Linked DNA regions of Rhinolophus ferrumequinum. The protein of the gene in region 3 interacts with the protein of the main gene of each other region in a pairwise test. Links are inferred from orthologs where the notes say so. Each region holds a gene or a part of one and is shown on either strand. Other genes may lie near its edges.

The links.
Region 1: the proteins of EHHADH (region 3) and KCTD9 interact in binary tests that used the Homo sapiens proteins (3 or more experiments, as listed by UniProt). The two-hybrid records come from large-scale screens. The link is inferred for Rhinolophus ferrumequinum from reciprocal best matches to the Homo sapiens genes EHHADH and KCTD9.
Region 2: the proteins of EHHADH (region 3) and MID1 interact in binary tests that used the Homo sapiens proteins (3 or more experiments, as listed by UniProt). The two-hybrid records come from large-scale screens. The link is inferred for Rhinolophus ferrumequinum from reciprocal best matches to the Homo sapiens genes EHHADH and MID1.
Region 4: the proteins of EHHADH (region 3) and DES interact in binary tests that used the Homo sapiens proteins (3 or more experiments, as listed by UniProt). The two-hybrid records come from large-scale screens. The link is inferred for Rhinolophus ferrumequinum from reciprocal best matches to the Homo sapiens genes EHHADH and DES.

What each region holds. Positions count from the first base shown.
Region 1 is NC_046301.1:41,687,138-41,694,617, reverse strand, and holds the start of KCTD9 (BTB/POZ domain-containing protein KCTD9), read right to left. Parts: upstream 3,022-7,480; 5' UTR 2,926-3,021; coding exon 2,878-2,925; intron 1-2,877. UniProt on the Homo sapiens protein: Substrate-specific adapter of a BCR (BTB-CUL3-RBX1) E3 ubiquitin-protein ligase complex, which mediates the ubiquitination of target proteins, leading to their degradation by the proteasome.
Region 2 is NC_046284.1:118,835,041-118,842,716, reverse strand, and holds the start of MID1 (E3 ubiquitin-protein ligase Midline-1), read right to left. Parts: upstream 3,007-7,676; 5' UTR 2,904-3,006; intron 1-2,903. UniProt on the Homo sapiens protein: Has E3 ubiquitin ligase activity towards IGBP1, promoting its monoubiquitination, which results in deprotection of the catalytic subunit of protein phosphatase PP2A, and its subsequent degradation by polyubiquitination.
Region 3 is NC_046285.1:60,046,365-60,053,209, forward strand, and holds the start of EHHADH (peroxisomal bifunctional enzyme), read left to right. Parts: upstream 1-3,839; 5' UTR 3,840-3,920; coding exon 3,921-3,994; intron 3,995-6,845. UniProt on the Homo sapiens protein: Peroxisomal trifunctional enzyme possessing 2-enoyl-CoA hydratase, 3-hydroxyacyl-CoA dehydrogenase, and delta 3, delta 2-enoyl-CoA isomerase activities. Catalyzes two of the four reactions of the long chain fatty acids peroxisomal beta-oxidation pathway.
Region 4 is NC_046291.1:16,097,816-16,104,784, forward strand, and holds the start of DES (desmin), read right to left. Parts: upstream 3,025-6,969; 5' UTR 2,930-3,024; coding exon 2,352-2,929; intron 1,392-2,351; coding exon 1,331-1,391; intron 1,213-1,330; coding exon 1,117-1,212; intron 955-1,116; coding exon 793-954; intron 644-792; coding exon 518-643; intron 112-517; coding exon 1-111. UniProt on the Homo sapiens protein: Muscle-specific type III intermediate filament essential for proper muscular structure and function.

The DNA.
Region 1 (7,480 bases), on a different chromosome or scaffold from region 3:
TATTCAAATACAGTCGTGTCATTTTCTTCTGGAACATCGTCGTAATGTACTAAATGCATCACTAAATGTGTCCGTCTGGCTGACGGTGACTGGGGCTTATTTTAGGGGTAGGTCTTATTTTCAGGGAAACACAGTAGCATTTATTAAACAGGACTTCAAACGGTCTTTAAAATATGGTACTTTTTGACTTCTCAGATTCAAAGAGATCCAACAATTTTTCAAAAATCTCATAGTTTATATTGGGGAAGTGACAGCTCAGGCATTTTTCTCATTGCTTACTTGTGTTTGCTTAATTAATATTGTCTTCAATCCGCAGATTCTTTGAAGGAATCTTTTAAAGCCACTTGACATTTTGGTAAGGGTTAATTTAGTTAAAACTGGATAATACTAATCTTAATCTGGTACTTATAAGCTTCAACACCTCACAACAAGCCAAAGTGAACCACCCAGCGAAGAATTAGCCCATTCTCTGAGAAGACTTGGGACCAGCTGATACTTTCAGTGATTGAAAGCACCTCTGTCTTTCCAGGTTGGAAAACAATCAAGTTTCAATATTTTATAATTTTAAGTGAAAAGATACACGAATATATCAAAAGTGTAATATTTCTTCTGAAACTCCCCTGGATCCCCTTGTCTAGCCTTTGTGGTGTACCATCTCACTGTTTTAAAGAATGCACAGCCCTCTCTTCTACCTCAAAACATTCACTAGTTACACTTGATTGTTTATTCATTAGTTACACAGAAAAGTCACAGTGAGCAGATTTCACCTGCAGTGACTGCCTCCCCCACCCAAGGCTTCATAGCCCAGTATGGCAACCACTGGATAAGCTTTACAGGAGGGAAATTTGAAAAACCAGACATTATTCTTATGACCAGGAAACAAAAATTGAAGCTAGGTAAATAAAGAGATAATGGGAGTGACACAGCTATTCCAACTGGTGGATGGGAAATCCAACTCTATTTCACAGTTGTGCTTTGTTCCATCATGTTTTTCATGAACATCAATGTCATGATCATGCCATCCTGGCTAACTATAATATAAATAAACTTTATTTATATTAACATGTAGGCTGTTATTATTCTGCTCTTTTTCTCAAATAATATATATATATATATTCGATGTTCCAGAATTATACATATATGTATAAATACATATATATATATATATATATATATATATATATATATATTTAATCAGCTGAAGGGAGAGGAAACACTGACAACTTTGGCATAGAATATGTTTTCCAGTTGAGTAGTAAGGATTATGGCATGACTTATTTTTAATATTGAATCATACTAGTATTCTCCAGTTTGGGGCTTTATGGATTTTTGTAACATAAACATATTTATCTTTATTTGAGATGTGTCTTCCAATCTTCTGAGATTCTCTAAAAATCTAACCTCATCAAAACTAGACAGCTTTAAAATTTTTATTAAAGATAGAGACAATCTTTGGCAATAACAAAATTCAGTGGTTTCAGAAGAGATTCATAGCACAGTTAAATATTTATGACTGGGTCTAAACATTTTGTCTTTCATGGAATAACATAGCAGAGATGTTGGGAAAAAGGTCAATCAGAGGTCTGGTTTTGAGAACATATTACAATTATAACTTTGGATATACTAAATCTTTCAATAACAATGTAAGTTTTAGGTTGTGAGTGGTAGTTAACAGACAAAACAGGTAGAGAAAGAAAAAGTTAATATGATCAGAAGTAATGTAAATCTTGCTAAGCATATTTTTAGGCAGCATTTATAAAAAACCCCAAAACTTGAATTTATGCCAGTTCTGTTTTATATGGGTATTAAATATCTAAAACCAGAAGAACACAAAATTATAGTCAACAAACTACACTGTGGTTCAGATTTTTAGAACATGTTTACTCAAAATTGCAGAATAGTTGGGAAACCACGTTTTATACCGTGGCACATTTACACTATTTAGAAATTTACAATATTTTCAAAATATGCAGAAGACAAAGCATGCTAGCAAATAATACAGTGAGGCCAATTTACCTTTACTTTAGACTCTAATGCTTAGTTACTTGTAGACGTCATTTAGACGCACCATAAATGTCTGCCTTGAACAGTCAAATTTTCCAAAGAAGCCCAACAACTTTCATGGGTGGGGCAAGAAGCTGAGAAGCAGCAGGATTCATTTTGGCTTGTTCTGGCGTTGGAAAAATGTTTAATACCACACCCTGAACAAAGGCCTAACACAGCAAGGAGTAATGTCAAATCAATCCATTTTGGCCTATTGTCAGAGTCCTCTAAGGAGCTAAAATAAGGCGAAATAACAGAGTACAGAAGTTTGGTGGCGGCGGGGGACCTCATGTCCCTAATTTTCAATCCTCTATGCGACCCAGAAGAATATTTCATTTATCCACTGATAAAGAGTTTAATTTTTACGCGGTCAACCTTACATGCCTCAGTTGTATCCACCACTTTTCTGGAGCAGAGCATTAGTCAGCACGAAGGTGGAAATAAGCGGCCTCAGTAGTCAGGGGAGGGGGGCAGCGGGGTCTTCCGGGAGGAGGTGGGAAGAGCGCTCAGTATCAAGCGATCAGGTGACAGCGACCCTCCGTAACCTGCGTTCTTCCCGCCCCATACCTGGACTTGTAAAGATCAAGCACAAGCTGACCTGCGCTAGTTCCTGGGGCGACTGGGGAGTAAAAGAGGCTCCAGCTAGAAATCCCGGGGTTGGGAGGAAGCCGCGGGGACCCGATGTTCACCTTCTAAACGCACCCCACACCGGCGCACGTCCACCTCCCAACCCCTCTCCCCAACTTCAGCCCTCTGCCCTAAGAGCCCGCTCCGCACTCCGTTGCCCACGCCCCCAGCAGCGAGGCCCTCTTCGCCTCCTCCGGACCCCCTTACCTTTCCATTCTTGGGGCTGCCATTAAGGAACAGGGTCACCCGCCTCATCGCGCTGCCCCCACTGGGTCCTGAGTGAGTCGCCACCCTCCCACCTGGCTTTCCTCCCACCTTTCTCTTCTCCCGCCCTTCCCCTCCCTCCTCCCACTCGAAATCTCCTCCCTTCGCCACCTTCCTTCTCTTACAGACACACACACGCACGCACTTTCCGTCCCACACCCCAGGGTTGGCCGGTCCTCCTGTCCACCCCGCCCCTGGGCTCCTCAGTCATCCTGGAGCCCTTCCCCCACCTCTCCCAGAGTGACTCTAAGCTCCACCAATCAACCGGCAGCATCGGCCAGCACTCAACCAATCAGCACCCTGCATTGGGTGGGCTCATACTAACCCACCCAGGTGGAGGGAGGGAAGAGAGGCTGCAGTCTGGCAGACGAGAAGGGTCATCAGCCAATCAGAGCAGAACCTGGAGCCCAACGGCGGGCTTAAAGCGTTACTGAGCAGGCGCAAACCCAAAACCAGGTAGAGCTCCTCTGCAGGCGGAGGCAGGGTTTGAGGGAAAGAGGTGGAGCGCGAGAAGTGACCCACACCAGTCGGCAACTCCCGGCTGCAACCCATCCAATCGCTCAACCCACAGAGGGAACGGCTGCCGTAGGGATGGCTGATTGGGTTAGAGCCATCCCGTCGTTCTGTCAGGATTGGTCAAATTATTCTTTTCGAAGTTTGCAGCATCCAATCGAAAGACGGGAGGCGGCTTCAAAGTGCCAACCGAAGGGTTCCTACGCGGAACTCTCACAGAAAATAGTCCCTGTGGACACAGGTTCGCAGCTGATCCCTTTGGTCAGTGCGCACCCACAACTAGCAATGGTTTCTCCCAGAGTCCACGAAGCTCCTGTTCCTGGGACGGCGAGGTAGAGGCCTGGGAGGGTTCTGGGTGCTCTCAGACACGTGCGGGTGGCGGCGGCGTACACATTCGTGGAGTAACGTCGAGACGCTGAGGAGGCGGGGCCGGCTATTTGAATCCCGCGGCGGGTGGCAGGAGTGCTGAGCTGAAGTGTAGGTACCGCGTACTGCGTGTTCCGGGTGTCGGTGAACGGTAAGAGGCAGCCCCCGGTGGCTGGCTTGCCGGCCAGCAGTTACTTTCTCGAGCTAACCCTTCAGGACCAAAGAGCCGTGCTCTAGAAGGCAGAGCAACCGCAATAGTCGAGTGCGGCGGAGCGTTCAGAATAAACCCAAGCGGGAGGAGAGCCAAACTGCGGGACTGAGAGGTGAGGCAAGTGCCCTGGTTTGACTTCATCGGCGTGTTTCTCAGAAGTGTGTTCTGTTTATCCGGCCCCACGGAAATAAGTGGTTTTCCTGCGACCTGAGCTGGACCACCCGTGTGCTTTCTAAAATGCAGGCCCCTGGGGCCCAGCCACACCTCCTGAATTAGAATATCTGGGAATACCCAGCTGCGTCTTTAGCTGGGTACCCCGATGCTTCAAGTGTTCACGAAGGTTGAAAAGCCATGGTTTATAGTATGGGGTCTGCATTGTTTCATCCCGAACAGCAGTTTATCTCTAATTTGAGCTCCAAAAAGTACTCTCGACATCTATTTTCATGCCAGTAGAGATTGTATTAGAATTGAGTCTTGAATGGGGATCTTGATGGAACCACGTTAAGCTTGGGGGTGGGTTATTTTTCTTTTTTCTCTCCTCTGTGTTTTTCAGATGGATACCGATTCAAAAGTCAGCGAGCTCCCCGAAACCACGGAGTCTGCTATTAATAATATTGGTATGTAGTGATCTGTTGCCTCCTTTTGAAATTTAAAGTTTAGGTATTGGTCTTGATAATGATGCTTAGCCCCCTACAACATGTCTGTTTCAGAAAACACCAATTTCATTTTGGGAAACAAAAAGCTTGTCACTCCTCAGAAGCATGCAGCTGAGGCGACTCCTAATGATTGCACACTAGATACTTTTAAATCACCTTTGGACTTTTCCACAGTAACTGTAGAGCAGTTGGGAATTACACCTGAAAGCTTTGTAAAGAACTCTTCAGGTAAGAGACGTTGTCTTTCTATTGCAATGCTTAAAAATTACTTTAGCTCAATTTTGTTCATTTACCCTCTCTGTCTGTCTTGTTACCTTATGTATTTAAATTAATTGACTGCAAACTTGCTTGATCGGGGAGACTTATGTGAACATGCACAATTCATCCAGCATAGCAGGAGACCATGCAGGTGTCCCAGGGCACCTAGCACAATGTTCCTGAGTCCAACTTGTGCTTTGTGTCCAGACTGGAAGAGAACCTGTGTGTAAATCACTTTTGGATCTGGACACATAGGATACAGGAATGTACTATAAATAGTAAGACACGTTTGTGGTCACATATGGCAAAAATAAGAGAAAGTTGAGCAGTGGAGAAAGTATTACATGAAGTTGGGGTATGCCTCTTCAAAATCACAAACAGAAAATTGGCTCCTGCTAATCTTCAAGGGGTAGAAATGAAATTCACCTGCGAAGACTAACTTGGAGAAGAAAGAAATATGGGAGTGGAATTAGATTCGAGAATGGCATTTAGAAATGGAGGGTAATGGGGGACTTAAAAGTCAAAGGGCACTAGACTAAGTAATACATGATTGAGAAAAGACTGAAAAGTGGCACACCATTCTGTGTTTTCCTCTCAAGAACATCACGCTCAGACCTTTAAAAAGCTAGATTTATTTTGTGTGCTTGGGTATATGTTCAGAATTCCGGGTAGTGTGCCAAAGGTGGTACTTAGATCGGTATCTAAGAAAAACAACTTACCTTGAAGAATTGAGCATGAAAGTACATGTGCCTAGGTGGAGATCTTTCCTTTCAGTCCCTGGAAATAAGACTGCCTGATTCAGAAAAAGGGAAGTTCTCAGTCCAAAGCAAGACATTACCCACCTCTTTGTGCAGAAAATAATGCAAGAGAAATGAGAGCTACTTATAAATGTGTTCATGGGTTCACTCCACTCAACTATGTTTAATAAATAACTTCTAAGTACTAGGTATTCCAGGAACATAGAATAAATCAGTAGACAAAATAAAGATTCTGTGCAACTGATCGTGTATGAACAGTTTTGCCCACTATAATTCTTCAGTTAGATTTATGTACCATGTGTTTATCATGTTTTCTCTCCGGCTGGTACACCACACATCTTCAGGACATGATTACTGATGATTGCCTTGTTTTATTCCAATTTAAAAGAGAGTTTTCATTACAGGAAAGTCATCATCCCACCTTAAAAAATCCAGACGACGCTCTACAGTTGGTGTTCGGGGCTCTCCTGAAACAAACCATCTTATTCGTTTCATTGCTCAGCAGCGGAATTTAAAGAATGCAGAGAAGTCTCCTTTGACACAGAATTCCCCTTTTCTGGTATGATTTTCTTCTAAATTCTGTCATGAATTCTTCTAGGAAGAATATTTTGCTGTGTTACAGAGCTTTTGTAAAGAGTTTCTACCTTACAGTGCAGCTCATGTGTTTTGGATCTGCAGAGATGGTATTTTGTCTGTGCTTTACAGAGTTTGCCTCTAAATGGGGATAAACATGAAACATACACCAAAAAAAAAATGCGTACACATTATAAGAAAGGAAAATTATTAAAATTGTAATACTCAATATATACCGATAACAAAAGATGAATACAAGTCACGTTTGATTTCTGCAATTATAAGAGGTGCTCAAAGTGGTTACCATCAGTGTCCAGACATTTCTGATTACAGCGAACTACTGCTTGAGCGTTGATCAAAGTGTCCACTTGTAGACATTTTTTGGCATCCCCGGTATTAAGAGTTGTGAGATCCTGGAGAGAAATGGCTTTCTAGGGGAGCGTTCTATTTTATTTTGAAAATTTTTCTAGTTAACATCTGTTTTTCTATAATGAGATGAGGCAGTGTTTTCCAACCTTTTTCTTTTAATATCTTTAAGAGTCTAATTTTCTGTGACTATAGTGTGTTGGCATATAGGGGCAAGAGTTTCCCCAGGACAAAATGTATTTGGGTTAGCCTTGTCGAAGGGAACAAATTATTTGTCTGACAATGGGGAAGTACTTAGACATTTTTTGCAGATTTTTATTAGAATAATACATGCTCCTAAAGAGTCAAATAGTAGTACAAGGCTTGCTATGAAGGACAGAGTCCCCAGCTTATCCTTCTTGAAGTACATCTGCTTTTGACTTGTGGTGTTGGCCTTACTATTTGAAAATGTACTTATGTTGCCACTTCCTCATTTTTCAGTTTTAGTCACTATGTATGCATGAGGCTGTGTAGTGCAGTGCAGTGGTACTCAGAAGTTATCTGCACATCACTGGGGATCCCTGAGTTCCACTGAAGAGGTCCATGAGGTCAAAACTATTTTTTGTAATAGCTCTAAGGTGTCATTTGCCTTTTTTTCACTGTGTTGATATTTGTGCTCATGGTGCGTAAGTAATGGTGGGTAAAGCTGATGTCACCAAGCTGTCATTTTATTCATCATTGCTAAGCATTCACAGGAAATAATAATGCCAGTTTCCCTTAACATTCTTGATGAAGCAATAAAAATTATAGATTGTATTAATTTTCAACCCAAGTAATTATGTGTGATGAAATGGGAAGTATGCATC
Region 2 (7,676 bases), on a different chromosome or scaffold from region 3:
TTATGTCATTGCCTCTGGACGAGGCCACACTGGTGGTGGGAGAATCCCAGACAAACACACCCTGATAGCAGTTTGAGAAAGGGAAGTATAAACGATAACTAAATATTAGAAAGGATCTTATAAAAAAACACTTCACTATTAGCTTTTCAGATCTTTAAGAACAGGACAACACACACCCCTCTTTAAATAAAAAGGGCAAACTGGATGACATATAGAGGGCCTTGACATCCCACCATAGCATGAAAGACAATAAATATTAGTATATTTTTCTTCACAGTGACCCCCAGCGTAGCAGAATTTTGACTTGCACGATCTACACTCTGGGCCTGGATGGTCACAGTGTGCTAGCTTTCACGCATCCTGACAGATAGAGAAGTTGATCCTATCTATACGATATAGTGGGGCAAACTGAGGAAGCTGTGTGGTCCAGAGATCACCTTCTGGGGGATACCGCCAGCCCAAGCAGAGTCTGATGGCCCAGATGCCAAGAGGACTCAACCTCTGGGTATGTCTGTAACCCACTCATCATCGACCAGTGCTCTGTGGCCCACCCATTGGGAGGCTTTGTCTTCAAGAATTTTCCTCAGGATGACTGGCTGTCAGGTGAGTTTGCAGCAAACCATTCTTCACATGCTACACTTTGGTGGGGAATCACAACACATATTAGCAGATGAACATATTAAGGCTCCGAGAAGACTGGTGTTTCTTTGTTGTTCTCCCCTTCTCCCCCGCCCTCCCCCCCTACTTTCCAATCTCCTTTAACCAGGACACTCTTTCACCATCTCACAGGTCTAAGCAGCTGCGGAATGGTTAACCCTCCACCGGAGCACACAGCACCAGTGACTCAAAAGGCTTAATGCAACACCACCATGTCCTAAGTATCTTTCATTGCAGATTAGCTCGGACCCTGAAATAACTTTAATCATCAAGAAGAAATCCTCCTGGAATGCTATGAACGCCAAAGTGTTAAATACAATAATCACCATTATTGCCCCCAAATGAGCCGATGAGGAACCGAGGATAAGTGGATTCTGGAGCTGGGACTCCCAGTCATGTACAATAATTCATATGCCCCTGGCAAGGAGAACTCTAAACATGAGATTCAAAAACCCTATGCTTAGCCTCGGCCTTCCCCACCCCAGGAGACTTATCTATCTTTCTGGTTATATAGTCCCTTGGCTGTTGATGTAATTAGTATATAATAACTGTGTACATATCAACTCACAGGAAAAACGGCGGACGTGCTGGTTGATTTGGCTTGAGGCCATCTCATCGGCAGGGTGAGACAACCCGGTAGAAACATCTGTTATTAACCGTATATTTTAAAATAGTGTTTTGTGTCTCCTGGGTTACTGATTCCCACTGAAAGCAACACAATATCAAGACTCCTGTTTTTCTGAGCAGCACCTAGGAGCTAACAAGCTTTAAAACATTTGCAATAGTCTCTGCAGTTCTGCTGCTTGTGCTATGAAGAATTTTATTTCCTAAAACGTCTACTGTATCACACACACTGCTTTTCTAGGTTTCAATCTCATAGAGGTGAGCAGGTTTCATTTAAACTGTGTCACTATGAAGAGTTAAGGTTTTTCAAGTCAAGGGCCCCGAATAAAACTGGCCGTAGCTTTTGTTTTTATGAAGAAGCACTTGCCGTTCCCTCTATTCAATCAGTAGCCTCACTAGGGATTGGACTATGACTTGCAATTTTTTTTTAAAAAAGGGGCCATTCTCTCAAATCTGCTTGTTTGCGCTGAGTACTTTTCTTGAAATTAACTTAAGAAATTAATTTCTTAATAGGAGAAATTCAAAATCGGGTGCTCGTGCCACTGGCTGCAGTCAGTAGCACAATGCTGCTTCCTAAACTTCTAGGACGAAGTCCCTGTGTTGGGCAGAAAATGACAATCTTTCTTTGACACATGAGCAGTCAAATTTTCAAAACATTTATCCAAGCTAACTCAATGAAGAAACCACTTTGGCATGAAAAAATAAAAATGAAAAAAAAATAAAAATGTACCTGATTCCAAATCACTTTTGACAGCTCTGCTATATATATAGAAAGAAATCGACTTTCTTCAAAAGTTTTACCTGTGCCCCAAAACTCAGTTGGGATAGTTTTGCCTTCTTTCTCAATTGTCCCAACTAGAACGAAAATGCCCCTGCAGGTCTGTGAAACCCTTGCACATGTCCATGTTTAATTACATTCAGATTGAGATCTTTGTATACATATAGGATATAGCCAAACTTTAACTCAATCGACCGCAGCGCCTTTGACATACAGCCTTTATTCATCGTTCTCGCCTTATGTATAAATAGACATGCGCGACTTGTCAAAATGCAAGCCCGAGCGTCTTTACATTGTCTAGAACAAAGAGCCCAGCTTGGCTTCTTTCTTTCCTCAGTGTCTCAGAAGTTGTCCTTTATTCCATGTGCAGGATGCAAAGATTTTGCTGCTGCATGAATGAAAAATGATACCTTCAGACTGCCTTTTTCGTGACAAATTGCACTTCTGCAGAATATCACACTGCCTGTGGTTGTAAGAACCCCACTTAGATTTACTATTACTTCCTCGGGGACTCAGCCTTCTCGCAAAGCACCCCAAGGCTCATTTCCAGGGTTTTAGAGTGCAACAAACATGAGAAAGTTTGCTCATCGTGATGGTCTAGAAACTCTTCGCTAGTAAAAACAGCCTCTGGAATGTGTAAAGTGCTAAAATCCTTGCCTCTGTGGACTTTGGGTGTACAAAACAGGCAGGAAAGTTGTCTGGAAGTATCTGCGAAGCATTGTGTTTGCTCAGGAAGGAGCTGTGGGGTGAGAGGCTGAGCTAAGCCTCTCCCTCTGCCTCCTGGGTGTGAGCAGTGAGGCTGCCACTTAGCAGAAGCAAGCAGAAAGAGATCGGTAAGACTCACCGGCTTCCCCATTTTTCCCAGGACGGGGTTTTGTTCCTCAGCTGTGATCTGGATCTGGAAGAGGCAAACCTGTAGGTCCTCCAAGCAGGCTGCCTGGGATCAGCTGGATGGCTGGAGCGTTCAGGAAGCTTGCTCTGTCCAGCTCCGAATCACTCCCCCTCTCAGGCTGTGTGCTTACACGCCTCCCAGTCAGCGCAAAAATCCGCCAAACTCAGGTCAGCCGAACAGGTTTCCTTATATAGGTAAACATGAATTGCATTCCTGGTGAAAGAACTTAACTAGGAATCCTGTAACCTGGTTAACTCTACACAAGCCAGACTGGCTCAGAGTCAGTCAGCCAGTGTAGGGTTTGGTTGCAGTACAAAGGGATTTGTGCGATTTAATTAAAATCATCTTTATCCTGGCAGTCTGTAAAATTGGCCCTTCTAGTGTAACTGTGAGTCAACAGCTAGTATTTTATATCATGAGCTGTGACCAACCTTACATTATCTGGAGGCATTGTAGGGAGAAAAACCAAAGTATAGGATATTATCATTTGTCTTTTATGTTTTTAAAACCAGGGTAACTTATCTTGAAATTATTTTCAAAGAAGTGAATAGAACATGTGACAGGAAGAGAATGTGAACAAACCTCTATCAATAAGGCTCAAATGCTTTATTTGAGCATAGTAAGTAATAGTTATTCAACTTTCCCAGGCCTTTAGTAGATAATGCAATGTGATCATTTTGAGTCTACTCCCTTTATAATGTAGTAATTGCTACTGCATTCTTTGATGGGCAAAATGACACATAATGGCATCTATTTATTCCCTGTAATAACCCTCCTGAGCCCATATAGTGAAGTGTTATTTGATGGTTTCAGGAAAGAAATCTAAGACTGCTGAATTTGCATAATTATATGTAAAAATTTTAAAACAACTTCCTGGACTTACGAAGATAAGAAAACACATTTTAAAAAGAATTCTGGGGAAGGCCTAACTCTAGGTTCAAAACACAGCTTTTAAATGTAAGTATGTAACTTAAATCAATTGTCCAGTAATTGGCTCTTTTCCCTACATTTATCTACCGCTGAGTAAAGTAATAGTTCTTTTTAATTCTAACCAATTCCACGAAAGTCTTACTATAAAGTAGAGACTCAAGACTTTCTAATACCTGAGCGGTGGGGGTGAAGACTGCCTGCTGAACAAAACCCGTCTTAAAGTGAATCCTTTGTCCCCATTTCATCCACTGGTCGACTGCTCCTTGAGTAGTGACAATCTTAGTAAAAATAGCTCAGTGCCATGGTTTAGGTCTCTGCTCGGGAAAGGAGAGACAATGAATGTTTACATACTGCCTAAGCCAGCACGGATACAAACAAATCATAGAGAGTTTCTGTTAAGAGCAGTAAAGTGCACAAATCACACTGTCAGGAAGGGTAATTAATCTTTGAATAGCACTTTACAAATGGGCAAGGATTTTCGCATACAATTTCTCTTTATATCGCCACAGGAGCACGATGCAGTGTGTGTTATTGTTTCCTTTCCATGATAACAAAATTGACTTGCAGAGATAAAGTGATTGGTCCAAAGTCTCATGATCAATTTGTAGAAAAGCCAAGATTAGCAGATCTTCTAGAATTTAACTGCAGTGGAATTTCCAAAACTAGAGTCACCCTGACGAGGCAGCAGTCCATTAACATGGCAGTTTTCCATGTTCAAATATAATTTTTAATAATCATGTATCCAGAGAGTTTAAATGCAATATACAAACTGATTAAAACACTCTTTATAAAGTCATAATTTACTGCTAAAATGACTGCCTTTAAGTAACTCCAGAAAGGTCATAAAATGAGATAGGAAGTATATTTTTATTGAATATGAATTTGGGTTATAAAATATTATGAAAATATAACTTTGCAAATATTGCACACATCTTTCTGTTCACAGTACACACATTTCTATTGTATCAAGTTAAGACTCATCTTGACTCCCCCACTGGAAGGAATATCAGTGTTTTCTACTTATTGGGTTTTCATTAATCTTAAATAAAACTGTGTGCCATGCCAGGTAAATGGCTTTCACTAATATAGTCTATTTATGATCCTGCACCCTTTATGTTCTCATAATTCCCACTGAAGCAAGTTCTGTTTATGCAGGAACTTTAGACTTTATTAACATGTTGATGCAAGACGAAGAATGCATTTTTTTTCCAAGGCAGGCTAAACCTTTAAGTGCCTTAAGCTGGCCTTCAAATTTTTTCTTACAATTTTAAGCAAACAATCATTTAGGTTTTAAACACAAAATATCTTGGGCAATAATTATTGAATTGAAAGGTCAAAATGAAAATTGGATCTCAAAGTAGCATATTTCAAAGAGGGACTACAACCCTCTGCTAAATCCATTTTGGATGCCTCAAGAAATGGTTTGGGAAAGGCTGGGTCACTGAAGCAGTATGAATTCAAACTAACCATAGAGAACCCCAATGAGAGAGTACTTACAGCTGAATAATTACACTATGCCAAAAAATAGGACTTATGGGAAACTAAATAAAATACAAGACCTATTTGAAGGGGAGAAAAATCTCATTGTGGTTTAAAGAAAACATCAGAGGGCAGATTTTAGAAATTCCCAATGACATATAACTAATGAGTAGTTGAGCTATAATTCAAATCTCGGTCCACCAGACTCCAGAATCCTTGCTATTTCTACTGCATCCTGGGTATACTACACTATCCAAGAAAGAGAAAATGCCTTAGGGTCAGAATGTGCTTCCATTTTGGTTCCATCTCATGGTTACGTGACCTTGGGTAAGTTACTTAACATTTCTGAGCCTCACCCCCAAGGTGAAAATCAAATGGCTATACATCTCACAGATTACTGAAAGATTCTGAGATTTTAAAAAAATATCATTCTGTGTATACTTATTGATGCTTTTAATGATGCAGGCACACAACCAGGAGCAAGTTATGCATGTCCTTCCCCCACCCCATAAAGCTAACGACCTTACAGGAAAGACTGTGCACATATTTATGATGGAATGTGAAAATGTAATGTTTCCCCAAATTTCTCACAACACAAGAATGTTTAATTGAAGTTCCACATCAATGTAGAAATATTAATTGACAGATTTCCAAGCTGATACTCTCACTGTAGTTAGCACAGGTTACTCTACTGGCCAGAGGCCGGCTTACCATCATTAGACTTGGTGGACCTGGGCTGAGCCAGATAAATACCAGGAAATGGTAAACAGCGATACATCTGTCATATCATGACAATATCCTTTTATCGAACAATTGAGGAGGACCAGCATGTTCAATGGAAGAGCATCCTGAAGATACTCAGGAAGGTGGATGTTCATGGAGTTATTTTTATTATTAATTCTTTATATGCAAAAGTGATGAAAAACATAAGAATCCTTAAATATTGTAGTCAGTTATCTATCTACTAATCTATTACCAATTCACTTCTATGCAATAAACATTTAATTGGTGGCTATTATGGATAAAGGTCTATGAAGGATACATACAGAAAAAGATACACAGAAAAGAATGGTCCCTAGCTTGAAAAGAGCTTTCTAGAAAAATGTTATGGTGCTCAATAGCTGTATCAGACAGGATGGGTGAAGTAATGCTCTGGTAACAAGCAACCCCCAGATCTCAGTAGCTTATAACAACAAAGGTGTGTTTCTCACTCATGCTACATGTTTACAGAGATCAACGGGGAGGAGTCTCCTATTCATAGCCGCTCAGGAACCCAGGCTGATGAAGGTTCCTTTCGGCGCATACTTCCACCGTCGTCGCTGAGACAGGAAACAGGGACTTGGTGAATCATTACTGCCTTTCAAAACTTCACTCCATAAGAGACACTTAAACTTCCGCTCACCTTTCATTGGCCATAGTGTTCTCTGGCCCCAGCTTAACTTCAAAGAAAGAGAGACTACTAGAATACATGACAAATGAAGACATGACAGATATGGCAAACCATTTGGCAGATTCAGTACCACTTCTGGCATAAGGACTGGCAGTTTAAGTTTGAAAATTACTGACTAGATGCAATTTCTATAAGAGTGGGAGCTTAAAGGTGGACTGAAACATTATTAGTGGTTCCGGCTGAACCTTGAGGGAAACAGTGACATTTTAGAAGGATGTCCTGAGGCAGGCTCTTCATAATATTTCCATCAGTTACTTGAGTGATGATATAAAAGACAAGTTGATTTAATTTGCAGATGGTGCCAAATTGGATAGCTAACACCACAGAGGATTGTATTATAATTCAAAATGACCTTGAAAAGTAGGGGAAAAAATGACGTTAAGAAGGAAGCTTGTGTTCAATAGTGATAAATAGAGAATTGGAATGAAAGGGCTACAAAATACGCTATAGAAAAACTATATTGAGCTAATATTAGTCTGTAAGTTAAATAAATACTGGCAGTTTAGCACTTTTACTTGTAAAGCCTTTGGTATGGTGGTATTAACCATGTAAGCCCTGGAAAATAGACATTCTTAGGGTACTGCTTCATTGGGGATCCACATTAAAAGAAATAAGATATCAGAGCAAATTCAGAAACAAAAGCAGACATTTCCAAAGGACTAAGTACCCTAGGTCAGAAGTCAGCAAACTTTTTCTGCAAAGGGTCAGTAGTAAATATTTTTGACTTTGCCAGCCATAAGCCTCTTCGTTGCAACTACTCTACTCTGCCTGCCGGGGTGATCTAAAACAGTCACAGATAATATGTAAATGAATGGGCATTCATTTACAAAACCAGGAAGCCAACCTTGGGCTATACTTTGCAGACC
Region 3 (6,845 bases):
ACCCAAGAGAATTTAAAACATACTTTACACAAAAACACATACATGAAATGTTCATAGCAGTATATTCACATGAGTCAAAAAGTAGAAACAGCCCAAATACCCATCAACCGATGAATGAATAAACAAAATGTGGTATGTACATACAATGAACTATATTATTCAGTAATAAAAAGGAATGAAGTACTGATACATGCTACAACATGTATGAATCTTAAAAATATTATGCTTAGTGAAAGAAACCAGACACAAAAGGCCACATATTGTGTGATTCTATTTATATGAAATATCCAGAATAGGCAAATCAGTAGAGACAGATTAGTGTCTCTGTTAGAGTAGATTAGTAGTTGCTAGGGGATAAGAAGAAAGGGGAATTGTAGGTACAGGGCTTCTGTTGGGGTGATTAAAATGTTCTGGAATTAGAGTGTGGTAATGGTACACAACTTTGTGACATTAAAAATCACTGAATTGTACACTTTAAAAGGATGATTTGTATAGTATGTGAGCTATATCAATAAAAATTAATTATCCTTTTAAAAAAGTGAAAGGAAAGAAATATCTTTATGGATAAGAAATAAAGAGTAAATATGAGTTAGGGAAACATGAATATGACCTGACTGATGACAGGTGCAGAATCCAGAGAATAGGTGCTACTTATAGGGCCACTGACAAATACGAAGAATGCCCCGAACAACCAACAGCGTGAAGAACTAGGGATACCTTATCATATGAGAAATGATAGTTCCTGAGAAAGGGCCTGAAAAGGAACAGACTTAAGACAGAATTTGTTAACATCTTTGAATATTTGCTGAAAAATAATTTTATTAATGGGAGACTTAACGTATAACAAAAGTAGACCCAGGGAGTAATTATTTCTGAGAATAAAAGTAGAATCAGGGAGTTGAAAGTCCTAAGGACTTATTTCAATCAGTGAAGATAATGACTGCATCATTTTCACCACAGTTGGGTTTTCTTTAGGAATCCTGATAGCTGGTTAATCTTCATCATTATGATACTAAATATATGTGTGTGTACACGAGTGTGTGTCTCTCCAAGGCTCAACACTTGAGCAAGCCACTTGAAATGCTAGAAATGGTCATTTACTGATATTACTGGTATAGTGAAGAAAATATTTATATCTCACCTTTTATTTCAACACTTGCGTGGGCAGCTTTTCTTAAGCATCAGCCAACTTCCCTGTTCAAGAGTGTACTCACTGCTCATTGCTTCACTGTTTTAGTCAGGACAAGTTGAAATGTTTTAACAAACAGACCTACATTTCTTTCTTTCTCCTGTAGCAGTCCATGTTGGTTCCAGTCAATGGGGTACCTCTCTCCTCAAAGTTGTTAGGGCGGTCAGGCTTCTATCTCTGGCTCTGTCTTCCCCTGGGGCCTGCGGTCCATTTGTATCCCACATTAAAAGGGGAAAGGACAGGGAAGAGCACATGTGAGATTTTATCACTCCAGGTGGAAAGCAATATTTTGCATTTGTTCTGGATAAACCTGATTGGTTTACCAGAGATTTCAGCTCTGATGGACTTATGCCACTGTGAAATGAAGTTTCACAACACAATACCCTGTCAGTTTCCAGGGCTTACAGGTCACCCATGCAGGGAAAGCCAAGTTTAGGTAGGCATCTCTGTTCTTCCTGTGAGTACACAGTAAGCACATAAATTTTAATATTTACATTCTTTTATTTTTCCTGAGATCTTTAATGAACCACTTCTGATCCACTGATCTATTTTCGTGAACTGCAACATAATGACAACAATGACAAAAGCATATTTAACAAGCAAAAGCAGTAACATGCAAATGATGTGGAAGTGCCTTAGCCAAGAGGAATGGCATCCAGTTAAGTAGCACTTACTGAGACAAATTGAATGAGAAGACAATTTAAGCATATAACAATTCATCACAATCATCAAGCAACGATCAATGGTCAAGCAGTCTGCAAGAAGCAGCATGGTGCCATCTGCTAAATTGGCTCGCCACATTCAGATTTGGCCCATAGGAGCCCAAAATAAATTTAGACACTTTATTATTTACATAGACAGCAAAAGAAAGGTCAGCGTGGTATCAGCTCCCTGTGTTCCTAGTCCCACAGGATGACACCAAACAGAAAGTGCTGGATGAAGGATGACAGGAACCAAGTTGCTCTGTTGTTGAGAAGCAGGGCAGGGTCACCACTTGCAGAAATCTGAGAGTAAGTGCCCTCTTAAATTTTAAATTTGATGGAAGTTTGCAGCTGTATCTAAGGGATGGGGGTGGAGGGACTCAAAGCAGAAAGTTCTGTGTTCAACTGAAACTAGGAGATAGATGAGAAATGATGTGTGTCTGACTCCTCCAAGGTAAAGATGAAAAATTGCCTCAAAATGGCTCCACGTCCTCCTGATGTCCCCTTGCTCCAGGAAGAGTTTCCGGCCATTCAGAGCTGTTATGCCTTGCCTACACAGCCTTTGTGGAGGCATTCAAACTTGCTAGCATGCCACGGCAGAGTTCTTCTCCTAGAGACCAATGTCTGAAATAAGAAGACAAAGTTTAATTTACTGCTTCCTATAATAAGGGAAAGCTCTGCAGGTCATGCACAGGCTCTCTGAGCAAAGCAAACTGCTGATCTTACATCGAGGTTCTGGGCAAGGTAGAGTTCAGGGACTGGCGAACCTGCAGAGGCATTAAAGATTGATATGACCTGTAAGAAGCTGGTTGTTGGCACCCAGAGGCATTGGCACTGGGCTGTTTGTGACTGGTACAAGTGAGGTCTGTCTTTGACAGATTGGATCCCTTCTGACTGCTACTTGTTTCCAGGGCTTCAAGGCAATTGGCATTTTCACAGGAGCTGGAGCCTGTTTTGAATTCCAAGAAGTGAAAGAATATCTATGAAAATAGTCCTTAATCATTGTTAAAATTTGTGGAACACCAGTGAACAAACTCATTCCGTTGTTCTTTTCCTCTGAAACTTCCAGACTGCCCTCGGACCACTTCGCAGACTGTGGAGACCACCAGAAGCCAATCACATCTAAAAGTCCAACCTGAACTTTTAGAGAAAAGGGTTTGAGCCTTGTTTATCTTTAGTCACCTGCCTAGACCTGGCCCATAATAGGTGCACAATTCATGAATGAATGCAGTATTAGAAGTCACAAGCCTAAGGAATGGCAGAAGAAGAAATATGAGGACTGGGCAGAAAAGAAACTCAGGTTTCACTAGGTTGCCATACGACTGTTCTGTAAATACTCAGTTCATGTCAGTAGGTGAACATTTAGGTGAAATGCATGATGCATGGATTTAATATTCCAGGTTTGTGTCATATCACGTAATTGTCAGGACCCCATATATCGGTCCCTGTTAAGGATCATGAAGATGAAAATTGTGATAAGGACAGCTCCACAACTTAGTGAACTCAGAATTTGCCCAGAGAAATCGGGTTTGCAAACCTCCACTTGCTGGCAATTCCACCCATTTTCCACTGTCCTCCTAGATCTGCTTTGTGATGGGAGCAGGTAGGGAGCCAATAAATAGAAAGAGGGATCAAATGTACGGTGATGGAAGGGGAGCTGACTCTGGGTGGTGAACACACAGTGTGATTTATGGATGATGTGATACAGAATTGCACAACTGAAATCTATGTAATTCTACTAACAATTGTCACCCCCAATAAATTAAAAATAAATTAAAAAAAAAAAAAAAGAAAGAGACGACGAACTTTTGCAGACGCGGAGCTGGGGTCAGGGGGAGCAGGAGGGCGGCGACGTAGTGTGCGCGTCGGTGCGGGGGGGGGGGGGGGGGGGGCGGCCGGGAGGCGGGAGGCGGCGCTGGGCTCCCATTGGCCCCGCGGGCGCCCCTCCTCGCGGGGCTGGACCGGTGCGCAAGGAAAAGTGGCATCGCCCTGCGGCGGCTGGCGGAGGCGACTTCAGCGACCCGGGAAACATGGCCGAGTATACGCGGTTACAGAACTCTCTGGCGCTGATTCGCCTCCGAAACCCGCCGGTCAACGCGATCAGGTAACGGGCTCGGTCGCCTCCAGCCTGGGGACAGCGGGGCCTTCCCCGCCTGCTTGCTCAGGAGGCTTTGACTCTCCCCTCCTGGTTTAAACGGAGAAAGACACTGACTCAAATTGAACGATGGCGTTTGCCAGGGCCTTTTACATAGGTCAGCTTGGTGAATCGTCGCAGAGAACTTTCATGCCCATTTCGCTGGGGAGGAAACCAAGGCTGAGAGGCAGACAGATGGCTACGAAGCGGGGGAGCTGGACTCGAACCGGGTCTGCGCATGCCAACTTCGTGCTGAACCCTTCTGCTTGCTTGCAACTTTGACTTATGTGGCCCACTTTGTGTTCCAAAGGTCTTAGTGCAATGCTGGCTGGACCTTGATCCCTCATTTCTCAACCTGGAGCCCAGGCAACCCTTACATGTGTGACTGAAAGCTTTAGAAATCTGACCGTGTGGCTTCACATTTTAAAAAATCAGTAAAGGTCCTCATTGCCAACGCAGTGAGGAAAAGAGAATTGAGCCCGGGCCCAGAAAATGCAGTCGTATCTCCTGATCTGTTTAAACCTCAAGGCCTTAGTGCTTCAGTAGAAGAGTAAGAGTAAGAGTAAGATTATTAAATACCATTTTCTGAAAAACTGTGCACTTTATCTTTTATTTCACCGTGGAATACCTTTCTTGTTAAACTCTCTTACCCCAGATTTGTACAATGCACTTACAGCATTACTTTTAAAACTGAGATTAATGCTGCTTTTTGAAAATTAATGAAGTTATTATATAGATTTGGTCATCCCATATCTCTGAAAAAAGTATATGATCGATCAACCTAGGAAAGAGCCACCCATCCACAGGGAGGAAAATTAGTAGAAGTTGTAATTTACGATGAATATATACAGTATAGAGAGAAAGACCTTTGGTTAAAATTCTTACTATCACATGCTGCTGGAGGAAAAAAAAAAAAGGCGAAATGAGACCTGCTAATTTTAACTAATTTTAACTGAATTTTTATCCTATCATCCGATTTGATTTTATCATTTGTATTAATATTATAATTCTCATTTTTAATACGAATTATTACATTGAATAATACAAAAGAATTGCAGAAATAAAATCACACAAGGATGATCATTTACTTGCCATTCTCAGAAAAAAGTAAAATATTCGTTATTTTGATTTTGATGAAGAAAAACATAAGTAATATAATTACATACCCATTTTGGACGTGTCTATATTCTCATTAGAATTATTAGATATTAGGACCGTCTGCCTCAACCTCTGCCCATAATGGGAAACCATGTCCATCAGGAACTTGAGGGGGGATGTTCTACACTCTAATACCCATAACTAGGGATATTTTCTTATAATTATTTTTTAAAGTTTATAGTATTTAATCCACCCTCCACTGACCTTGCAGGAGAAATGTTACTATCTGCCTCATAAAAGTTGTTGTGAAGTTTAAATGCTAGAGATTATAAACTGGCATTTAATAGCTGTTAGCTATCATTATTTCTGTTAAGCAGAGGCCTGTTACAAGCCCCTACCACGGGCTCTGCTGCTCAGGATTCATTTCAGATTTATTACAATTTCCCCCACTTGGGAATAAATACTTTCCTGCCCTTTTTTCTATCTGCTTCTGAAGTTCTGTTTTAGGTAGAGGTGTACATCCCAGCACGTTCATTCAATTTAACAGGTTCCCGATTTTTTTTTTCTTTGTACTTTTTCTCCTCCTTTCTTCCTTCCTTTTCCTTGTACTGTTTCTAATTTTATGTGGAAAATTATCTCTTCCTAGATCACTAAGAGATTCTTATCTGAAGAATTTTTGGGCCCAAACACATAATTTAAATCCTTTGCTAGTTTAGCAAGTCATGTTTCCTTCAATTCAGATGAATGCTAACCCTCTTTACAAGTGTAGGACATGCCTGATTCCTAGGCCTATCTCTCAACTCAATGGCTTTCACACTTTTTTTTATTGTCATTTCACATGGAAACCACATGTTTTACAAAGCAACCTAAACACACACACATACAAATATATAACCGAAAGCTAAGTTTCACAAAACAAAACTTATCTTTACGTGTTATATAGTTCGATATATTCTATTTTCTCCTCTTTTCTATTTCTTTGTTTTAAAAAATGCTGGTCACAAGCCACAAACTTCATTTGATGGCATTCAGTTTAAAAATAAAAACTGTCACAAAAACCATATAGTCACAGAAGCTAAAGAGTTTTGGTCAGCACTCTTTAACTGTTATCTTTATTCTAAACTCCATTCCTTCATACCTGACAATATTAAGAGGACAAAACAATTTCTTAACCTCTGTGACCTTGACATTGCTACCAGGCTGTGGTCCCTTTCACTAGACTTGAATCTAGTAAAGTTGTATCTATTACAGCCATTTTCATTTTTCTTTATGTCCTGTATTTGATTTTGACAAAATTAACAAGAACATAAGAAATAGAGTAGGGGTTGGATGAAATGGGATAAACCACCCTCTTCTCCTCAGTGGCACTGATTAAGCTCATTTTGGCTAATTTTTACCCAAAAGGAAATATGTGCCTTTTGGACTTCTCAGTATTATGGATGGTTCAGAATCTGTTTTTTGTTAACCAGTGTATTTCTAATTAACCAGTCGAAGACAAGAGGTTTTGTTTGATTTCATCTAGTTTAACTGATGAAAAGTAACAAGGTGAAAGGGGATTATCGTATACAAGGGCAAGTATCTCCCTTATTCCGTCAGGTTTTAACTCAGAGTTGCTCGTCTGACCAATCTGGCTTTTTTAGAAGTTTGCTGGTTTTTTTCATTTGTATTAATATTCTTTTTCCCACGCTATATGTTAAAGAACAGACATTGTACTCAGAATTCC
Region 4 (6,969 bases), on a different chromosome or scaffold from region 3:
CTTGAGGTGCCGGATCTCCTCCTCTAGGCGAGCAATGTTGTCCTGGTAACCGTTGGCCTCACTAGCAAAGCGGTCCTCCAGCTCCCGCATCTGCCTCATCAGGGAATCATTCTGCAGGGGAGGGGCGACTAGGTCAAGGTCAGGTTGTTGGGGGTGGGTGGGTGGGAAACACTAGGGTCCCAAGATGGACAGCGACACAAACATGCTGGGAGGCAACCCCAGAGAGTCAGGTCCAGGAATTGTCAAACCCATCTCAGCCAGGGAACCCTGAACTCAAATGAAGTGTTCTGTGGAAACTCAGAGAATAGAACTGATAAATGTTCAGCCTTCCCTGCACCCACATAGGAGCCCCATGATTTCCTGAAAGCCCAACTGGTAATCCACCTGTTTTTACCCTGGTGGCAGATATGAGGAGACAGAGGCCCAGAGAGGGTATGTGATGGGCCCGTCGTCACTGACTGAGGGTGTGAGCTACGGGCAGGAAAGGCTGAGCTGGGTGAGGTGGGCAGGGACTCACAGTGCCCTTGAGGGCGTCGATCTCGCAGGTGTAGGACTGGATCTGGTGTCGGTACTCCATCATCTCCTGCTTGGCCTGGCGCAGTGCGTCATTGTTCTTGTTGGCTGCCTGGGTCAGGTCAGACACCTAAAGGCAGAGAGGGGCCCTGAGATGATGCAGGCAGAGGTGGGCAAGGGAGCATGGAGACCCTAGCTCACCCTCCTCCCCGTGGGTGGAGCCACAGAAAGCAACTCCAAACCTGGGATTGAGGGGGAGGGAGGGGCCAGGCCGCCTACCTTTGACTTGTACCATTCCTCAGCTTCTGAGATGTTCTTAGCCGCGATGGTCTCGTACTGGGCCCGGATGTCCCTGAGCGCAGCGGTGAGGTCTGGCTTGGACATGTCCATCTCCACCTGGACCTGCTGTTCCTGAAGCTGGGCCTGCAGCTCTCGGATCTCCTGCATGGTGCAGCTGGGCTTCAGTCCCCTACCAGGCACCTCCCCACCCCAGCACCCTCACACCTCCATTCCCAGAGCCAGGCACTACCACTGTCCCCCACCCCCACACCACCTACTTTCACCAGTGTCGAAGGACCCTGGGGAGGAGGGCCCAGGGCATACCTCTTCATGCACTTTCTTAAGGAACGCAATTTCCTCGTTGAGAGATTCGATCCTGCGCTCCAGGTCAATGCGCGCTAGAGTGGCAGCATCCACATCCTGGGAGAGGTCCAACAAGAGGGACAGGGTCACCTATCACCCCGGAAGGGCAGAGGGAGACCAGGGGCCACACAGGGGGAAAGAGGGGTAAGGCTGCTGGGGGTCGAAAGAGGCTTACCGCTCGGAAGGCAGCCAAGTTGTTCTCTGCTTCTTCTTTTAGCTGAATCTCCTCTTGCAGCCTGGTAGGAACAGACAGATGGAGAAACAGACAGTTGGTGGGGATACTAAAACTGGCCCTGGAGATGGCTAGCCTTGGGCTGCCCAGGGAGTGGGCTCAGGACAGAAAGGAAAGCTGGCTGCTGGGTGGAGACAAGAGGCCCCGCCCACCCAGAGAGTGGACAGGAAGTGGCCCAATCTCTGCACTAGAGCCACACCCTGGAAGTCTATGTCCCCACCAGACTGTGACCTCCCTGGGATTAGGAACAGAGTCTATTTTATCCACTTCTGTGTTCCTGGTTCGCAGCTCCAGCCGGGCCTGTGTACGTGCTCAAATGATGTTTGTGACCTGGGCGGCAGGGTGGTGACTCTGCTCACTTGGGCTTTCAGAAGCAGGACCCATGAATACTTGCTGCCCTTTCCTACTGGGAGCCTGGTGAAGCCCCACATCCAAGTTTTCTGAGGGCTGCAGTCCCCCACCCACTCTCCCGTTTCCTCTAACTTACCCATTCCCTTGTGAAATGGCACAGCCTCAGCCCGGCCCAGGGGCAGATTCCCTTCTCTAACCCCCTCCCCAAAGCCTCATCACAGATGAGCCGAGAGCTACTGCTTGGATTCCCCACCCCTTGCCCTTCCCAGCTGGCCCCGGATTTCCTGGTCTCCTGTCAACCTCCGCCTTCCCCTCCGACTGCACTTGGGCCTCTTTCCTCTACCCATCTGCCTGCCTGACCCCCATCAACATCACCCCGGCATCTTAAGATGCTTTCTCAGGGGGCTGTCCACAGGGCACCTGGTCTTCCAAGGTCTCCCATTTCCACCCCATAATGTCCCCCAAAAAAACTGCTTCGCCGAACAGGAGCACAAGGGAGAGACCCAGAACCTATCTCCCCTCGGGGGACACAAGTAGATGACCTTCTTAGGGGCAGGAAAGGGTCCCTGGAGCCCAGCGTGGAAAAGGGGTTCTGGGAGCACCGGGTGCTCACTTGGCCTTGAGCCGCTGCAGGTCGTCCAGCAGGTTGTCGCGCTCGACGTCGACGCGGGCGCGCTGGTTGGTGAGCACCTCCACCTGGCGCCGCAGCTCGCGCAGCTCCTCCTCGTAGATCTCAGCGACCCGAGTCGGCTCGCGGGCCTTGAGCCGGTTCACCTCGGCGGCGAGCACCGCGTTTTGCTGCTCCAGGAAGCGCACCTTCTCGATGTAGTTGGCGAAGCGGTCGTTGAGCTCCTGCAGCTCCACCTTCTCGTTGGTGCGCGTAGTCAGGAACTCCTGGTTCACCGCGTCTGCCAGCGAGAAGTCCAGCAGCTCGCCCGCGCCGTAGGAGGAGGGCACGCGGGCTGTCCCCAGCCGGCTGGCCCGCAGCGACCCCAGGCCCCCTGCCCCGCCCGACGTGCGCGACACCTGGTACACGCGGGACGACATCGAGCTCGAGGAGCCCTTGGTGCCGAAGCCCGCGCGAGAGAACACCGGCGAGCTCAGAGGGGAGCTGAGCGGGAAGGCCGGGGCCCCGCCGAAGGTGCGGCGGTAGGAGGACACGCGCTGGCTGGACGAGTAGGCCTGGCTCATGGTGGCGGCGCGGGCGAGGCTGGGCGGTGCGGAGGAGGCGGCGGGCGGGCGGCCGGCCGGAGAGTGGATGCGGAGAGGGGAGACAGGGCCCCCAGCCGTCCGCACTATTTGTATCCCTCCTGACATCAGCCCCCGCCGCCCCTCCCCTGACAGCTGCAGGATCCCGCTGTCCTGCCAGGAAAGGGCGGCCGCTGGCGTGGGGGTGGGGAGGCCAGCTACCCTGCAAGAGGCCTGTGCCCCCAGCCCGGCGGGTGGGGGGCCCTTGAGGGGTGTAGGAGTGGCTGGTGGACCTAGGAGGGCAGAAGACAGGCCGGCCTGTCAATGCCTTTATCAGGGCTGCGGCTTCACCAGGGCTGGGAGCATGTTTGGAAGCCCCAGGCAGGCCCCTTTCAGCCCTTGGGTGCCTGCCTCCTCCTGGGGTTGATCAGGGGAGATAATCCCGGAGAAGCTCCCTCTTAGTTTGAGGGTCTCCTTTTTGATCCAACATGAGACTTTGGATCATTTACTGAAGGGACAAGGCCTCTTCCCAAGAAAGTCTCCAAGTCACCTTTCTTCTAAAGATTCTCTAGAACTGGCAGAAGTTTGGGAGGGCTCAGGTGAAGACCAGGAGACCATCAGTCCGGCCTAGAGGTGGGGAGTCTCTAGGCAGGCCCAAGGGTGGGAGTGTGCCCTGGGAGCAGAGAGCAATCCTGGCCAGAGCTGGCCTGCTCAGGTATGTACACTGGAACCTGGGTTCTAGCTCTGAGCCTCAGTTTCCCTCTGGACTAGTATAGGCCCTTTTCCTCACCCCCACCCCCACCCCTACTGGTGAAGGTGGGGCCTCAAGTTTATAAGCAACAGGGTGATTTCCAGAAAGGGTCTGTTCCACTTTCAGTTTCCAATCACTATGTACACTCACCTCCGCACCACCAACTTCGCCTGGCTGCTGCCCCCTTGTATCCACCCCACCCCTCTCTGATTCATCCCCCTACTCACACCACCACCCACAACCACACACACCAGGGGTTTGTGTTTTGTCAGGAGCTGCATGTCAACCCAGCCATCTCTCTGGCAGCAACAGCTGCCAACCCAAAATACCAGAGCTGGTATTTATAGAGGAGAATGCATGGGTCCGGGAAACATGCGCACAGGAAAGGAGCTCTGGGGGGTGGGGACCGGGTACCTGAGGAGGCACGGGTGTCAGACGGCTGAGGAAGGCTTGGGGTGATAAGCCCCACGCACTTCCAACCCCCATAATGCTCCAAGCCCCCAGCATAAATGGAGTCCGGCAGAGGGCTTGCACATCCCTTCACAGCCTACCCTGCTTCGTACAAGGTACTGGCTGACCCCAAAGGACATCCCCACTTCTCCATGAACACTGGCTGTCTCTCTACACCTCCACCTGGCACTCTACAGGCCTCTCTTAGGCGTGACCTTTTGGAATGTGAACCTTGGGAACACAGTGCTGGTCTTCCCCTAGCTCTGCCATCACCAGCAGGACTAATAACTAGCAGACAAGTCCTTTATTTCTGTGTCCTCCTTATAAAGTGGGAATGTTAGCCTTGCCATGTCTATCCTATAGGTGGTTAAAGAGGCTCAGGTCACAATATGCAAAAATCCTACCTTACATGTGTTGAACACCTACTGTATACCACTCTGCTGAGTACTCCACACCCATGATCCCTAATTCTCCAACAACCCTATGAGGTGAGAACTAGTATCATTCCCATTTTGTAGCTCAGGAAGCTAAGGCAGTCTGACACCAGGTGTCAGGTGACCTGTAAAAGACTTTGTTATTGATGTGTTTTCAAAGGCTTTTCACATTAAGTGTCTAATTTTCGCCCGAGACAAGCTTATGAGGTGGGTAGGGAGTTCCAGATATTCTTAGCCAGTCTTTGAGTCACTGCAAGCTGTTGCATTCTGGTTATTTTTGTGTCTTGTCTCCCAAACTAGATTCTAGTTTCCTGAAGAATTCTGGAGACCGTGTGGATTCTTAGCACACCCCAGGTGGCACTGTCCTTGTTGTAGTTCAAAGTAGCCTGAAAGCTTTCTTTCCCCTCCCCTTATTTTGGTAACAGATGTTACACACACACACACACACACACACACACACACACACACACACACACACCGGCAGTAGACAGCTGACTTAGTTCCCAGCCAGTCTTAGAACTGCATTTCTCTCACTGCAATGATTGGCTCAAAGGGTGGGCCTGGACCTGAGCTAGGCCAATTAGAGAACTTCCCTGGAATTTATAGATGGAACTGGGATTACTAAACTGGGGGCTGTGGCAACCATGTTTCTTGCCCTCTGGGGAGGTCTTTCTGGAATAGGAGGAAAGAGAGGTCAACAAGCAAGGAGAGGCAGAGACACTTGGAGAGGAGGAGAATGCCAGGCATGCAACCTAAATTCCAGCCCTTGGGGCCCTGGTTCTGTGCTTTTTCCTCAATTTTGTGAGCTCCCTCAGTGTCCTTCCTGGCTTTGGGGCTAATAAATTCTTTCCTTTTATTCACTTACGGCACTTGGTTTTGGCTCGTTCACTTGTAGTGAAAACAATGTTTTGAATAATCTACTGTCGGAGACTATGCACCCATTTCCACGATGCTGGAGAAGACAGAACATTTTGGGGACTCCTCTCTGTAAACAGCCTCCAGACCACATAAGGAAATTGTCCTTTGGACCAGCCCAAGGCCTCAGTTTCTTGGTGAAATGAGGCAGAAAATAAATAAATAAATAAATAAATAAATAAATAAATAAATAAATAAATAAATAAAGCCATCTATTCTCTAGTCAAAATCAACAACTACCAGACTTGGCTCTGAACCACTTGGGGCTGTTTCCAAAATTCAGTTTCACCCCTGAGGATTTGCTACCATGGAGGGCAGCAAAACAACACTCTGAGGCTTGGAAGGCAGGTGAAAGAAGAGCACTCCAAGACATGTTCTGTTTCAGCAGCAGCACCACTGGAGTAAGGGTTTAACATTCTTAGGGGGCCACTGAGAACTGGACACACTAAAAATAATAATAATGTACCTGGATGGGTAACGTACTCAGCACAAAATTCAAGAATTCCCATTCGGTCGGTTGCCTTTTCATGCTGTTGGTAGTATCCTTTGATGAAGAAAAGTTTTTAATTTTGATGAAGTCCAATTTATCTATTTTGTCTTTTATTGCCTGTGCTTTTGTTGTCATAGCCAAGAAACCATTGCAAAATCCAATGTCATGAACTTTACCCTTTTGTTTTCTTCTAAGAGTTTTACAGTTTTATGTCTTTGATCCATTTTGAGTTAATTTTTGTATGTGGTGTAAAGGTAAGGATCCAACTTCATTCTTTTGCATGTGAATATTCAATTTTCCCAGCACCATTTGTTGAAGACTATCCTTTCCCCGTTGAATGTCTTGGCACCCCTGTGGAAAACCATTAAGCCGTGTGCATGAGGATTTATTTCGAGGCTCTCTATTCTAATACCATTGGCCTATATATGTCTGTCCTTATGTCTGTACCACACTGTTTTGATTACTGTAGCTTTCTAATGAGTTTTGAAATCAAGAAGTTGTATGAATTCTCCAACTTTGTTCTTCTTTTTCAAGATGTTTTGGCTATTCAGGGTCACTTGAAATTTCATATGAATTTTTGGATGGAATTTTCTGTTTCTTCAAAAACACTGGTGTGGGGGGGTGGCTGGTTAGCTCAGTTGGTTAGAGCGTGGTGCTGATAACCCCAACGTTGCCAGTTCGATCCCCTCATGGGCCACTGTGAGCTGTGCCCTCCTTAAAACAAACAAACAAACAAAAAAAATGGGTGGGATTTTAACAGGGATTGTATTGAATCTATAGATCACTTTGGGTAGTATTGACAGCTTAAAAAAATTAAATCTCCCCATCAATGAACACAGGATATCTTTCCATTTATTTCTGTCTAATTTATTTCAGCGATATTTTGTAGTTTTCAATGTACAAGTCTTTTTTTTTTTTTTAAAGATTTTATTGGGGAAGGGGAACAGGACTTTATTGGGGAACAGTGTGTACTTCCAGGACTTTTTTCCAAGTCAAGTTGTTG